Linked DNA regions of Bombyx mori. The protein of the gene in region 1 interacts with the protein of each later gene in a biochemical or structural test. Links are inferred from orthologs where the notes say so. Each region holds a gene or a part of one and is shown on either strand. Other genes may lie near its edges.

Evidence for each region.
Region 2: of the proteins of armadillo segment polarity protein (region 1) and glycogen synthase kinase-3 beta, one has a biochemical effect on the other in vitro, tested with the Drosophila melanogaster proteins (2 studies listed by BioGRID). The link is inferred for Bombyx mori from reciprocal best matches to the Drosophila melanogaster genes arm and sgg.
Region 3: of the proteins of armadillo segment polarity protein (region 1) and CKIalpha, one has a biochemical effect on the other in vitro, tested with the Drosophila melanogaster proteins (2 studies listed by BioGRID). The link is inferred for Bombyx mori from reciprocal best matches to the Drosophila melanogaster genes arm and CkIalpha.

What each region holds. Positions count from the first base shown.
Region 1 is NC_085116.1:12,303,106-12,307,180, forward strand, and holds the start of armadillo segment polarity protein, read left to right. Parts: upstream 1-1,275; 5' UTR 1,276-1,416; intron 1,417-1,463; exon of another isoform or gene 1,464-1,660; intron 1,661-1,702; 5' UTR 1,703-1,733; coding exon 1,734-1,770; intron 1,771-1,842; exon of another isoform or gene 1,843-2,010; intron 2,011-2,445; coding exon 2,446-2,570; intron 2,571-3,426; coding exon 3,427-3,532; intron 3,533-3,661; coding exon 3,662-3,872; intron 3,873-4,003; coding exon 4,004-4,075. Other genes in the region: uncharacterized protein LOC101744306, read right to left, coding at 1-75. UniProt on the Drosophila melanogaster protein: Isoform neural may associate with CadN and participate in the transmission of developmental information. Can associate with alpha-catenin.
Region 2 is NC_085124.1:8,499,955-8,503,689, reverse strand, and holds part of glycogen synthase kinase-3 beta, read left to right. Parts: coding exon 1-55; intron 56-333; coding exon 334-393; intron 394-1,334; coding exon 1,335-1,445; intron 1,446-3,218; coding exon 3,219-3,456; intron 3,457-3,735.
Region 3 is NC_085132.1:9,600,352-9,604,883, forward strand, and holds the start of CKIalpha (casein kinase I alpha), read left to right. Parts: upstream 1-1,619; 5' UTR 1,620-1,762; coding exon 1,763-1,885; intron 1,886-4,435; coding exon 4,436-4,532. UniProt on the Drosophila melanogaster protein: Casein kinases are operationally defined by their preferential utilization of acidic proteins such as caseins as substrates. Can phosphorylate a large number of proteins. Negative regulator of wg signaling.

The DNA.
Region 1 (4,075 bases):
CGTATTTATTCGAGGTTTTCTTGCTTCACAACGGTCGGTGTTATTGAAATACCATAAAAAATATGCACAAATCATCCATTTGAGTCTACGATTTGACAGGTGCTTCTTTTAAACGAACTTTGAAAAAAGTCCCGATAAGCAGAAGATCTTGGCAATTTCAATCCATAATAATACTATTCAATGCGAAAGTGGGATTGGTGGTTTGTTGCGCTTTCATGTTTTAACTACCCAGCTGGTCAAGACGAAATTTTTCGTACAAATTGTAAGATTACAAAATAACAAAAAGAAAATTAGCTCGGAGAAATCACACATGTTCAGTTGGCCCCAAACTAGATAAATAAATACATAGCTATACCTTTAAAAGTACGTTTATAACATTTAAAATGGCTCAATACTTTCATTCATTTATACGGATATCAACATCCAAACAAATAGTAAACAAATCTGTTCATCACACTAATGTTTACCTGATCTGGGAATCGAACCCACGATATTTTTTTGCTTTTGATGCCAACAAAAAATCTGAAAGTAATATCGCCATCGCATTCACGGCCACGGAACTTGTATGACATTATTTCGTGCATTGATCTTGAAGCAGGATTCTGCCTACTATGTTGCTTCGAAATAATTTTGTACCTAGAAATATTTTCACATAAGTTGATAAAGATACCTGATAAAATCAACCGCCTTTAATCTAAAAACTTAAATATTAGCTAGTAACCAATATAGACCTAGGGATCTAGACAAAGTGTGCTCTTAAATATTAAGTACATATATTATCTGTGAATGTACTAGCGTTAATGTGAATATTAGATATGTAAATACAGAAGTACCGTATTTATTATATTTAATTTTAAGGAATTGACATAATAAATAATAATTACCTATGCTAACGAAACGTCACGTGGTCTAACTCATGTCAATCCCTTAAAATCATACCCGTCCGGGCATAGCTGGAATAAGACCTCAGGTACCTTCAGACAGGGAGTAGACTCAGTGGTCAAGGCTCAGGTACATCAGGTTTTTTAAAACTAGGTCATTTAATATAATAATATGACGTAACAATTATGTAAAATTATTATCTGCTGTATAAAAAAGTTACAAATCAATTAGGCATCATTAAAAAAATACAAATCTGCGTGCCACGAATCGTATTGTTTACAATTTATCCCTGAACTTTATGTTGGCACCCCGAGCCTTTGAAGAAAAAATGAGATAAAAGCATATGCAATACCTTAGAGCGAACGAAGTAGCAATACTAGTGTCAGCTGCATTTGAAAGTAAACGAAATTCGACGAGTCTCCGCCATGTTGTTGTATGAATCGAGTGACGGTGGGTCGGATATTGTGCATTTAATTTGTAAAAATTATTTAAAAGTCGTGAAAACAGTTAATCTGTTTGGCTTGCACGGCCAAGGTAAGTTTTATTCGCATTAATTTTAATTAAATAATGATATTAGTCACCTTAATATCTCGACCAGTACAAGTTATTTTATGGGGTCGGGTGTGGTGTTCGGTATTTAGTTCATGGTGCACTTATTTGTTTTGTTTTCCGCTGTTCCAAAAGTATTTCCTAGTGGGAAGCATTAAATAAATGCAAATGTTTATGTGATTAAGTTCTAATGTGAACCATGCTTTAATTCTTATGAATCGATCGATAACGTACAAAGCGGAGACATGTTTTATGGTATTTTTTACAACAGGGGACGGGTGCATCGTCGCATCGTCTAAATCATGAGTTATCAAATTCCATCATCGCAAAGTCGCACAAGTAAGTAATTTATATTGATTCTTTTGTAAATGTAAATTTATCATATCATTGCCATTCAAAAAGCTTGAGTACTTACTGAACGCTGTTCAAACCACTTACTTCGATACAATTGAATGAATCGGTTTGTGTCTATCGTGACTCATGCATATGGCATTACTTGAACGATAAATTTATAAATGAACTTTAACTTTTCTGTATCTCAGTACATTCTCTGCTAAGTAGCAAAAGAAAAAGAAATCCTAAAACACGAAAACATTGGAATTGAAACTGAGGGAAAAAATTACATTTTGAATCATACATTCTCAGTTCATTTATTTGAAAACAATTTTTAAACAAATTGCAAATAAATTAGATTAAAAGGAAATTTGAAATATAATTTGTTATGATTTGAGAACTCTCAAAAAGGTTCTTCAATTAATGAAAATACAGGTATAACAAGATTAGGATTCAACATAATTGAAACTTCAATCTCTTGTCAAAAGACGTGGAGTTCACATTAATGGCATAAAGTAACCACTTTATTTTAGTTTAAGTTTAGCTCCTGCAACTACTTACTAATTCTCTTTATGTTCGCTTGAAATTAAACCCATACTACCCCTTACATTCCTACAGAAATATATATATATCTCTCTGTTTTGTGTGAATAAAAAACGAGAAAACATCATTATTTTACAGTGTCGCACAGCAGCTATGTTGCTTCTGATGTGCCAATGGCACCAAACAAAGAGCAGCAGACATTGATGTGGCAGCAAAACTCCTATTTAGTGGACTCTGGAATCAACTCTGGAGCTGCTACCCAGGTAATGTTATCAGACTGTCTATTATAAAATACAGCAGTAATATTGTCCTATTTCATTATAAAAATTGGATTAAAATAAAATACGGCTTGTCTTCTTAATTTAACATAATTTTGGGATGGACACAACTGAAAATCTATCTTTATCAATACAACAACATAAGTCATTCAATATACAAAATAATGATGAAGTTTGATTAAATTTTTTATTATGATGACACTTCATAATATGAGATACCTGAACTACGTGTGCTCTAAACCTTGCTGATTTTATCATGGAACTTTTAACTGTTAAACGTAGAATGATCTAAAGAAAAAGAAAAAACATTTTCTGTCTCATTTAGTCGTGACTGAACCATACAAACTAGCAGTTTGAAAATTACTTCTGCATATTAAATAGATTTTGAATTGAACTGAGCAGTACTTTCATTAGTGAAATCTGTTATGGTATTTCATTGATTTTATCTGGCCTGTGTTCTTTAAGTAAGGACAGTAAATATGAGCAAAACACCATCCATTATAGTGTGAAGATATTCTTGCATTTTAGTTTTTAGAGTACACGTCAAGCCTTGTGTACTTCTTAATAGTTGTTTAAGCACTGATGAAACTAAAATCTTAGTATACAGCTCGAAAAGTAATATAAAATATCATAAAAATGCACAAAAGATCAGCTATAGTGATAATTGCTAACTTTTATTTGATATTTAAAAAATATTTTTTATTCCCAAAAGTACAAAAGATTTTTTATGAGAATACATAACCATACCTTTGTAACTTGACTGAGAGTGATAATCAGATGACTCCTACCTTTTTGAATAGTCACATCAATTTATTTTAGTTAAATGTATGATTCTCTTCAGGTTCCATCACTAACTGGCAAGGAAGATGATGAGATGGAAGGTGACCAACTTATGTTTGACCTTGATCAGGGTTTTGCTCAGGGATTCACTCAAGAACAAGTTGATGGTGAGTTGTTTCCCCATTTCATTTAGAAACGTTTGAATGTACAATATAGAAATAATTTTACACAAAAATTCTTATGACAATACAAGCTGTTTGGATTGTTGTATTCAATATCATATGCTTTACTTTCAGATATGAATCAACAGCTTTCTCAAACTAGATCTCAAAGAGTCCGTGCGGCTATGTTTCCTGAAACGCTGGAGGAAGGAATTGAAATTCCATCGACACAGCTGGATCCCGCTCAACCAACTGCTGTCCAGCGTTTAGCTGAACCTTCCCAGATGTTAAAGCATGCTGTGGTGAACCTCATCAATTATCAAGATGATGCTGATTTAGCTACCAGGTATAATTATGTAATATAATAGCCTAACACCAGATATTCTATCAGATCATCAGGCAACAAGCATGAAAAAAAAAACATTACACTATTATTATTCATTTGTTCTATTCCTATTGATTTTAAATTTGTTTCAGAGCTATTCCAGAGTTGATAAAGCTACTGAATGATGAAGATCAAGTAGTAGTATCCCAAGCTGCCATGATGGT
Region 2 (3,735 bases), on another chromosome or scaffold:
GGAGCATTGCAACATTGTGAAACTGAAGTATTTCTTTTATTCCAGTGGCGAAAAGGTGAGATATGTTTATCGAAGAATTATTATTATTGTAAGGAGATTCGCGCTTATTTAAGCCTATTCCTTTGAGCAACAACATCTTATTTACTGTGTATCTTACTAGAGTATAATTTCTAGACAGCTTGCTTGTCAATATAACATTTAGAAGCGAGATCTGTTTATAAGCCCTTTTATTGTGTATAAGTATTGTGAGAAACTAGGATTAAATGAACGTTAAATTTCGTTCTGAAACGTTTCGTAACTAAGGATTATGTTTTGTGTTTTATTTTGGGGAAGGCGGCAGTGCCCGCAGCAGTCAGTTCTCTGTTAAACGCAATGCAGACCCTTGATGTCACAGTATGTTTATGAATAAATAAAATTGTTACGCTAGTGTGCTATCGCACAATTTAGGCCTGCCAAATCGATTCATGGTTACCGACCAATATTTTCAAAATTAATAGGTTACAACAGTTTTAATTGTGCCACATTAAATAGTGAAAATGTGACGTATCACGCGCTTCCTGTCTTATCGACGTGAATGATATAAAATAATCACGACTAACAACTGCTCTAACAATTTTCTATTCCATTTCAGTCTTCATTCATCGAAACTAATTTGTTCACTAACAAGCCGTTTCTCCTTAAAATATTGACCGGTAACCTCCAAACGCCAATAAAACATTGTGCATAATAAATTGAGACCAATCTTAATCTATCACGAATCGTCAGTTTCCAGTTAAGTGCTTTTACATCACAATCCATTGAACACGTCGGGACATTTATCATGTTTTTTGATCATTAGTCTTGTCTGAATTTAACCGCTGTTTGCTTGTATTCTTTTTGACATGGGCTTTTAAAGCGACACGGCCATTTATGTAATAATTATTGGCACATTAAAATCATTCATTGAAAGAAAAGTCAAAACATCTCTAGTTCAATAAGGCCATCAATGTAAATGGTATAAAATTACTTGTAATAACTATTTGCAGAATAACCAGAGAAGACCCAGTATTTATTAAAGCCAAACGAAATCATTAGTTTTTTCACTTTTTAATATGAAAATTTTAATCTAAAATTTAATTATCTAACATTAAGTTTTACCAAAAAGAAATCATGCTATATCGATTCTCATAAACAAAATCACTTATTGCTAAAAACAAATTTGTGGTCAACCACAAAGTCAATCTGAGTAAAATCAATCTAAAATATATTATTTCGAATAAAAAGTTATCGTAATAGGTAAAGTGCTATCTATCATCTTGCAACATTGACATAGGTACAACTAATAATGATTTCAGAAAGACGAAGTGTACCTGAATTTGGTGCTGGAGTACATACCCGAGACCGTGTACAAAGTGGCGCGTCATTACTCCAAAGACGAACAAACCATACCCATTAGTTTTATAAAGGTAAGTATGCATGGTAAATTCTTCAATTAGGTGTGAAGGACCAAATACAGTGTCTCGATTTGAAAAAGTATTCGTGCTATTGTAACACCTTGTAAGTCCATATATACATATAGATCTTCAATGAATAATATTATATTGGTCAATATGTTAGAATACAATTAAACTATTTTTTCAAATGAACTTATTTTTTAGAAAATACTAACTATAATTTGCCACTTCATTACGGATCTTCAAGATCCATTAACGGTGCTTTTAGGCATCTCAAGAACCGGTCAAGAACCCGTTTCTTGCGAAGAGGGCTCGGCGAGTAAGTTAACCCATAGACACAGCCCACTGAGTTTCTCGCCGGATCTTCTCAGTGGGTCGCGTTTCCGATCCGATGGTAGATTCTGCAAACCACTGCTAAGGTCAGTGTTAGTAACACTTCCGGTTTGAGCCCCGTGAACCTACACGTTAGTCCTTAGGAAGAAAAAAAACTATAATATGATACTTATTGGGGTGGGCTACTACTCGTCACGCTGATCGCAAAAGTCAGTTACGAGAATCGTTTCACTTTTCCACGTTATTAATGTTTTTTCCCTCTTTTTATTGCATTGATCGGTCAGAGAACTTACGGCCCATCTGGTATTAAGGAGTTACCGGAATCCATCACACCGTAAATGTCGTGATCCACCTTGAGACATGATTTCGAAGTCTTAGTTTTATTGTATAACAACTATCTCACCTTTCAAACACTTGACTGCTTTGCAGTGGGAATAGAGCGGATGGTGGTACCTATCTGTGTGGGCTCACTATAGGCCCTAGCACTAGTAATTACGCAAATTTATGAATGTTTTATCGGTGAATTTCTATTACACGACATCATCCCTTCAAGTACGTATTACTTAAGAAAAAAATTGCCTGCGGGTTCTGCATAAGTCTAATCGTTTGATACGTGGCTTCTTTTGTTCATTAGGTCACGGAGACTAAAACTTTTATATTTGGCATTTATTTGAAGACTTTACTCTGTGTAAACAGTGTAGACAATGTAAGGGAACTACCCCCTAACCCAAGTAAACGATTTAGTGAACACTCAATGTAAAGGGTATACGTACAATGTTTGGGTCTTTAAATTATTTGTCATTGCGTGTTCACTACTTCACGGGAGAGGTTGCATTACATTTTGTAACTAGCGACCCGCCCTCGCTTCGCTTCGGAAACTGTAATTTGTTATTGATTTCTCCACTATTTAATGGTTGTTATTATACATATAAACCTTCCTCTTCAATCACTATCTATTAAAAAAACCGCATCAAAATCCGTTGCGTAGTTTTAAAGATTTAAGCATACATGAGTCGACTATTATCAAAGTCGGCAATCTGACTTTTGGACAATGATTGGTAAACCAAAAAAACGAATTATTGACTTTGTATTCCTTTGGCAGTCACAAAACTCTTCGGAACGACATCTTAGATAAATAACAGGTTAACTATTAACCTTTATTTAATGCAGGTTTTGAACCGTATTCTTTGAAGGAGACGATTATATTCAAATCAATCTGTATTGACATATCAATAAATTTTTTTTGTCCAAATGCACAGATTGCCACCTTTGATAATAGACGACTCACATAGGGACAGACAGATATAGAGACAGAAAAAGCGACTTTGTTTTATACTATGTAGTAATAACAAGTAGTTCTTTTTTTTTAATGATAGTCTATAATAATACATATATACATTTTAGGTTAGTCCTCATTTATATGTTTGTGTAATGTAGTAATATTTTTCGCAGCTGTACATGTACCAGCTGTTCAGAAGTCTGGCGTACATTCATTCTTTGGGCATCTGTCACCGAGATATCAAGCCGCAGAACCTATTGCTTGACCCCAAGACTGGAGTGTTGAAGCTGTGCGACTTTGGCTCGGCGAAGCACCTCGTTCGCGGAGAACCAAACGTTTCCTACATATGTTCGCGTTATTACCGCGCTCCGGAGCTCATCTTTGGCGCCACCGACTACACCACGAAAATTGGTACGTTTCTTATATCTATTATATAACTAATTGGACCTACGAAGTCGTCGTGGCCTAAAAGATAAGACGTCCGGTGCATACGTGTTGAACGATGCACCGGTGTTCGAATCTCAGGCGGCTACCAATTTTTCTAATGAAATAGTGTACTCAACAAATGTTCACGATTGACTTCCACGGTGAAGGAATAACACCGTGTAATAAAAATCAAACCTGCAAAATTATAATTTGCGTAATTACGGGTGGTAGGACCTCTTGTGAGTCCGCACGGGTAGGTACCAC
Region 3 (4,532 bases), on another chromosome or scaffold:
AGTTCATCCATACTACCTGGCGCCACTGCGTTCATCCACAGTGTTTCCAGAGTTCTTTTTTGCTACGTACCATCCGGCTTTGGGATGAGCTCCCCTCCACGGTGTTTCCCGAGCGCTATGACAATCCTTCTTCAAACGAGGCTTGTGGAGAGTACATGACGGTAGGCAGCGGCTTGGCTCTGCCCCTGGCATTGCTGAAGTCCATGGGCGACGGTAACCACTCATCATCAGGTGATGCGTATGCTCGTCTGCCTACAAGGACAATAAAAAAAGTAGCACAGTTAAAATAAAAAAAAACGCTTCCCAGTGATATTATTATTTATGTGGTTTGCAAATGCTTGTGGGACCATCAACACACCCAGCGAGCGTTAGATATCTTAGCCGGTTATAGTGTTATATTGAGTCTTCGTTATCAAAGTGATCAATGGTGTTCACGATGCCTATTTACAGTAATAAAAAAAACATGATTGACGCAAAAGATTTAATGGTGATCGATATTAAAATCTAGTTCCAGTGATACAGACATCTATTTTTGAGCGTGCAAAAATATCATAACTAGGTATAAATATTTAAATAGATGTGGTCTAAGTTGCTGTCGCTAAAGTAAAAGAATAAAAAACGAGTACGGAGATATTTACGGAACTAAATATATATTTCCGTTATTGCCTCGCTGTAGTCCTCTGTCCTCTTGAGTAATAATTGATTTCAGTACGACACTGTCTGTACCTCCTCATCTAAACATGAAGGTCACTAGGTCACCTACTTTCGCAATGCAACGCAAACTTTTACAATATTGCAAACTCCTTTCTGACGTCACGCGCGGCACGTCACTTTTGCTCTCGTTCGGTGGGCTTGCTCATAGCCCACCTAGTGTTAAATGACGAAAACCATAGACATCGTCTCAAATTCTAGAACTTAAATCTTAGATGTCTTAAATTCTATTGTACGACTTTTCTACCTCACAATCAGAAATTAGTCATTATTATGATATCAACTCAAATAGTATCAGATTTTAGGAAAATCAGCTATTCCGATTTCGTAGGAAACATGATATATTTATCTATTCGCTAATGACTGAAGGAAGAAATAGTGTAAACTTAGTAATTGTCTACTGATCGTGATATACATAATTAAACATTGATGTTTAAAAACCAATAATACCGAACCAATAATGTTAGTACAACAGAGAATAAGTAAGAGTATTATTATAAAATTCTAAAAATATAGTACCTATTTGATTAATCCTTTTACAATGAGTTATTATTGCAAAAATAATTTAAAGATTGAAAAAAATCATTAACTTCAGAATAAAACCAAAGTAGATTTTGACAAAAAATTTAACATACGAAAAGTACAACTTTTGCTACACAAAAATATTTTTTACCGCTGGGCACACTACGCGTTCTGAAACTCCGTGAGAGAGCTGTGTTACGATTATTTTTTTACGGAAATAAATCAAGAACCCAAAGAATATTAAAATTAAAAGTCTATAATTACACACAATAGTTATGGACTACAAATAAATTATATTTTAACTTTTTTGTGTCTTTAAATCGCACACTATTTTTATTAAAGTGTAAAAACGGAGGTTAGACGATTTCAGAACGCACTCCATCCTCCATGTTTTGTGCTCCATTCAGCCACTGTCTTGTGAAATGTAGTTTAGAATTTTACCTCTGTTTCCATTCGGATTGTGCGTAATTTGTGATTTCATTATCATAATTTTGACTTTGTGCATTTGTTTTGTATCAAATACGTAAAAATGTCGTTCCCGTGGAGATCTCGTTCGGAAGTATTGATTTCTGGAAAATACAAGGTGTCGAAAAAGATCGGTGGTGGATCGTTCGGTGATATATATTTGGCTATCAACATCGGAACTGGCGAGGTAATTATGATTTCTATCCTTTTCATCATTAATATCTTATGTTAATCTAAAGGATTAAGGTCGGGTGCGTTGTTCCCACCGCGAGGGGGGGTGAGGCGCGTTTTGTCTACGATGACGTATCTAATAAACCCAGAAATGGTTTTATCAGTTCATGGCACATTTCGAATATTCTCATTAATTATAACCATATAGATAGACATTATTTCATTAATACTTTACCTCTAGGTTGTATGAAATTGGTTTTATTAAGATACATTTCATTTCCTGTGTTGTGTAGGTCACATCCACACTACGAATGAAACAATGCCTCTACCAAATATATTCAACCTACATACATCGAGGCGTTTATACCTATTACCGTATACAGAATTATATATCAATAATAACCAATCATTCTTTGTTAAAATTTAAAATTGATAAACAAAAAATGCTAATTATATATTAAAAGAAACTAAAATTGCACAATAAAGTTATGTAATTCGTCATATTAATGGGAAATTTCGTAAGAAATATTATATAAAGAAGTCTAGAAAAAAAGGCATTTGTTTGTTTGCAAAATTGTTTAAGTCACATTCAATTCTTTTCATTTAAAGATTTATAAATTTGTTAATAAGAATTATATTTCTCTAATCTTATATTTATAAAAAAACACAATTTACAAATAAAGAGTAAATGGTAAGAGTTACAGAAAAAAGTCACATTTTCTTAGGTTTCCCGCTGCTTTACAGTGTCCTTTTCTTTTTGCTTATGATTGTTTATTATAGGATTAACATTGTAAAAGTATATGGTTGCCAATGGTAACGTTATGATACAAAGGTATTGAGAAGAAAATGTTTTATTTGCATTAACTGACACTCAATTCAAAACTAAATCAAGAACGAAACATTTGATATTAAAATTAAAAAGATTAAGCTTATTCATGTAGCTATGAATCAAAGCTAAATTCAGGGATATATTGAACATAATTTAGGTGAGGTTGTTAAGAGAGTTTTAACTTTTTTAGAGTGAGTGTTTAAGAGTGAGTGAAGAAATGGTATATAATAGAGGAGTATGGAAGGAGAAAACATGTTGCGCTGACCCAGGTGACTAGGGAAGGGCCGAAGAATAATGATTGGACATAATTTAATAGAATGTGTATCACTTCAAAACAATAGAGACATTGACCCCAATTTCAAGGATCCTGAAAATGGATTGTTATAAGCTTACCTAACAATTTAGTTTAAAATAAATGTATTCCACATCTTGTAAGTTTATATTTCGTTACCCATATGAAGAAACCTTTTAACCTTTTTTTGGGGCAATGAAGCTCAGGGAATGTTAATTAAATATTGTCTATCCTTCATAACAGAACAAATAATATTTGTATATATAAAGTACTATAGTTACCTGTCAAGGCAAGCTCGTAGGTGCATAGTTTTCAATTGAGGGATGTACCCTATGTCTCAAATTAATCTGCCCAAGTTATTAGGCAAACTGGTCAATGATAATTTCACTTCATATACTGAGGTTGAAGCCCTTATTCTTTTAGGATAGTAATGGTCTTACTCTCCTAATTCGAAACCATGATAAGCAGTTGTATGGTTGTTTTGTTTGCAGGTAGTGAAATAGTAACCACTATATCAGTGTATCATTGATAGTGATCTGTGTTTTAAGCGAACTGTATATCTTTTGATCTGCATGTGTGTAGGTTCAGATATCCTGATGCTTCAGAAAATTTTAGTATCCTTAGAGGCTAGAGATACTAACAATTTCTGTTTCTTCTTCATCTCACATTCTGTGGGGTCAGTATAGCAGGTCCCCAGACTTCCCCTTCTCACATTACTCTCTACTTCTATACCCACTTATTAATGATTTGTGTTTATATAACTTAAATTGACAATTGTACTACTAATACATATGACTTTTTTTTCTAATGAGATTCAGTCCACCGTAACAAGGTGTGACGTTATGCAGATACCGCTTTTCTTATGCTTAAATTTGTAAAGCAGTTCACAGCCCACCTGTTGTTAAATGAATACCAGAGCACATAGACATCAACAACGTCATCCACCTTGAGTTCTTAAGTCTCAGTTCTGCAGTATGATGACTGCACCACTCTATAAATGATCCGTCATTGGTACATCATGGTGAAAAAGGCGGGATAGTGCTTACTTCTCTTGCAGGGTTTTAAGACACCCTACCACCAGTAATTGCACAAAAAAATTTTTTTACAGGTTTTATTATTATTCTTTAATTTGTGGAAGTAATTTATAAATATGTGTTAAACAAATATTTCATTAGAAAATTTATCTTCAAAAGTTGACTGATCAATACTGAAGGCACCTTTAGAACATCAGACATAAATTACAATTCTATTCAAGGAATATCTATCGTAACATAAATTCCTATGAATCCAAAATGTATTATCTAAAGGAATAAAAATTGTGTGTGTTTAATGTGAATTAATAGTGAATGAGTTATTCATTTATGAAATAAATTTTGTGTAACAATACTTCTTTAAGGATATGCTATATTTGTTGTGCGATATACATGTTAATATTTTTCTTGCAGGAGGTGGCAGTGAAAGTTGAATCTACAAAGGCCCGACACCCCCAACTTCTCTATGAGAGCAGAGTGTATAAAATGCTCCAAGGGGGTGTAGGCATAC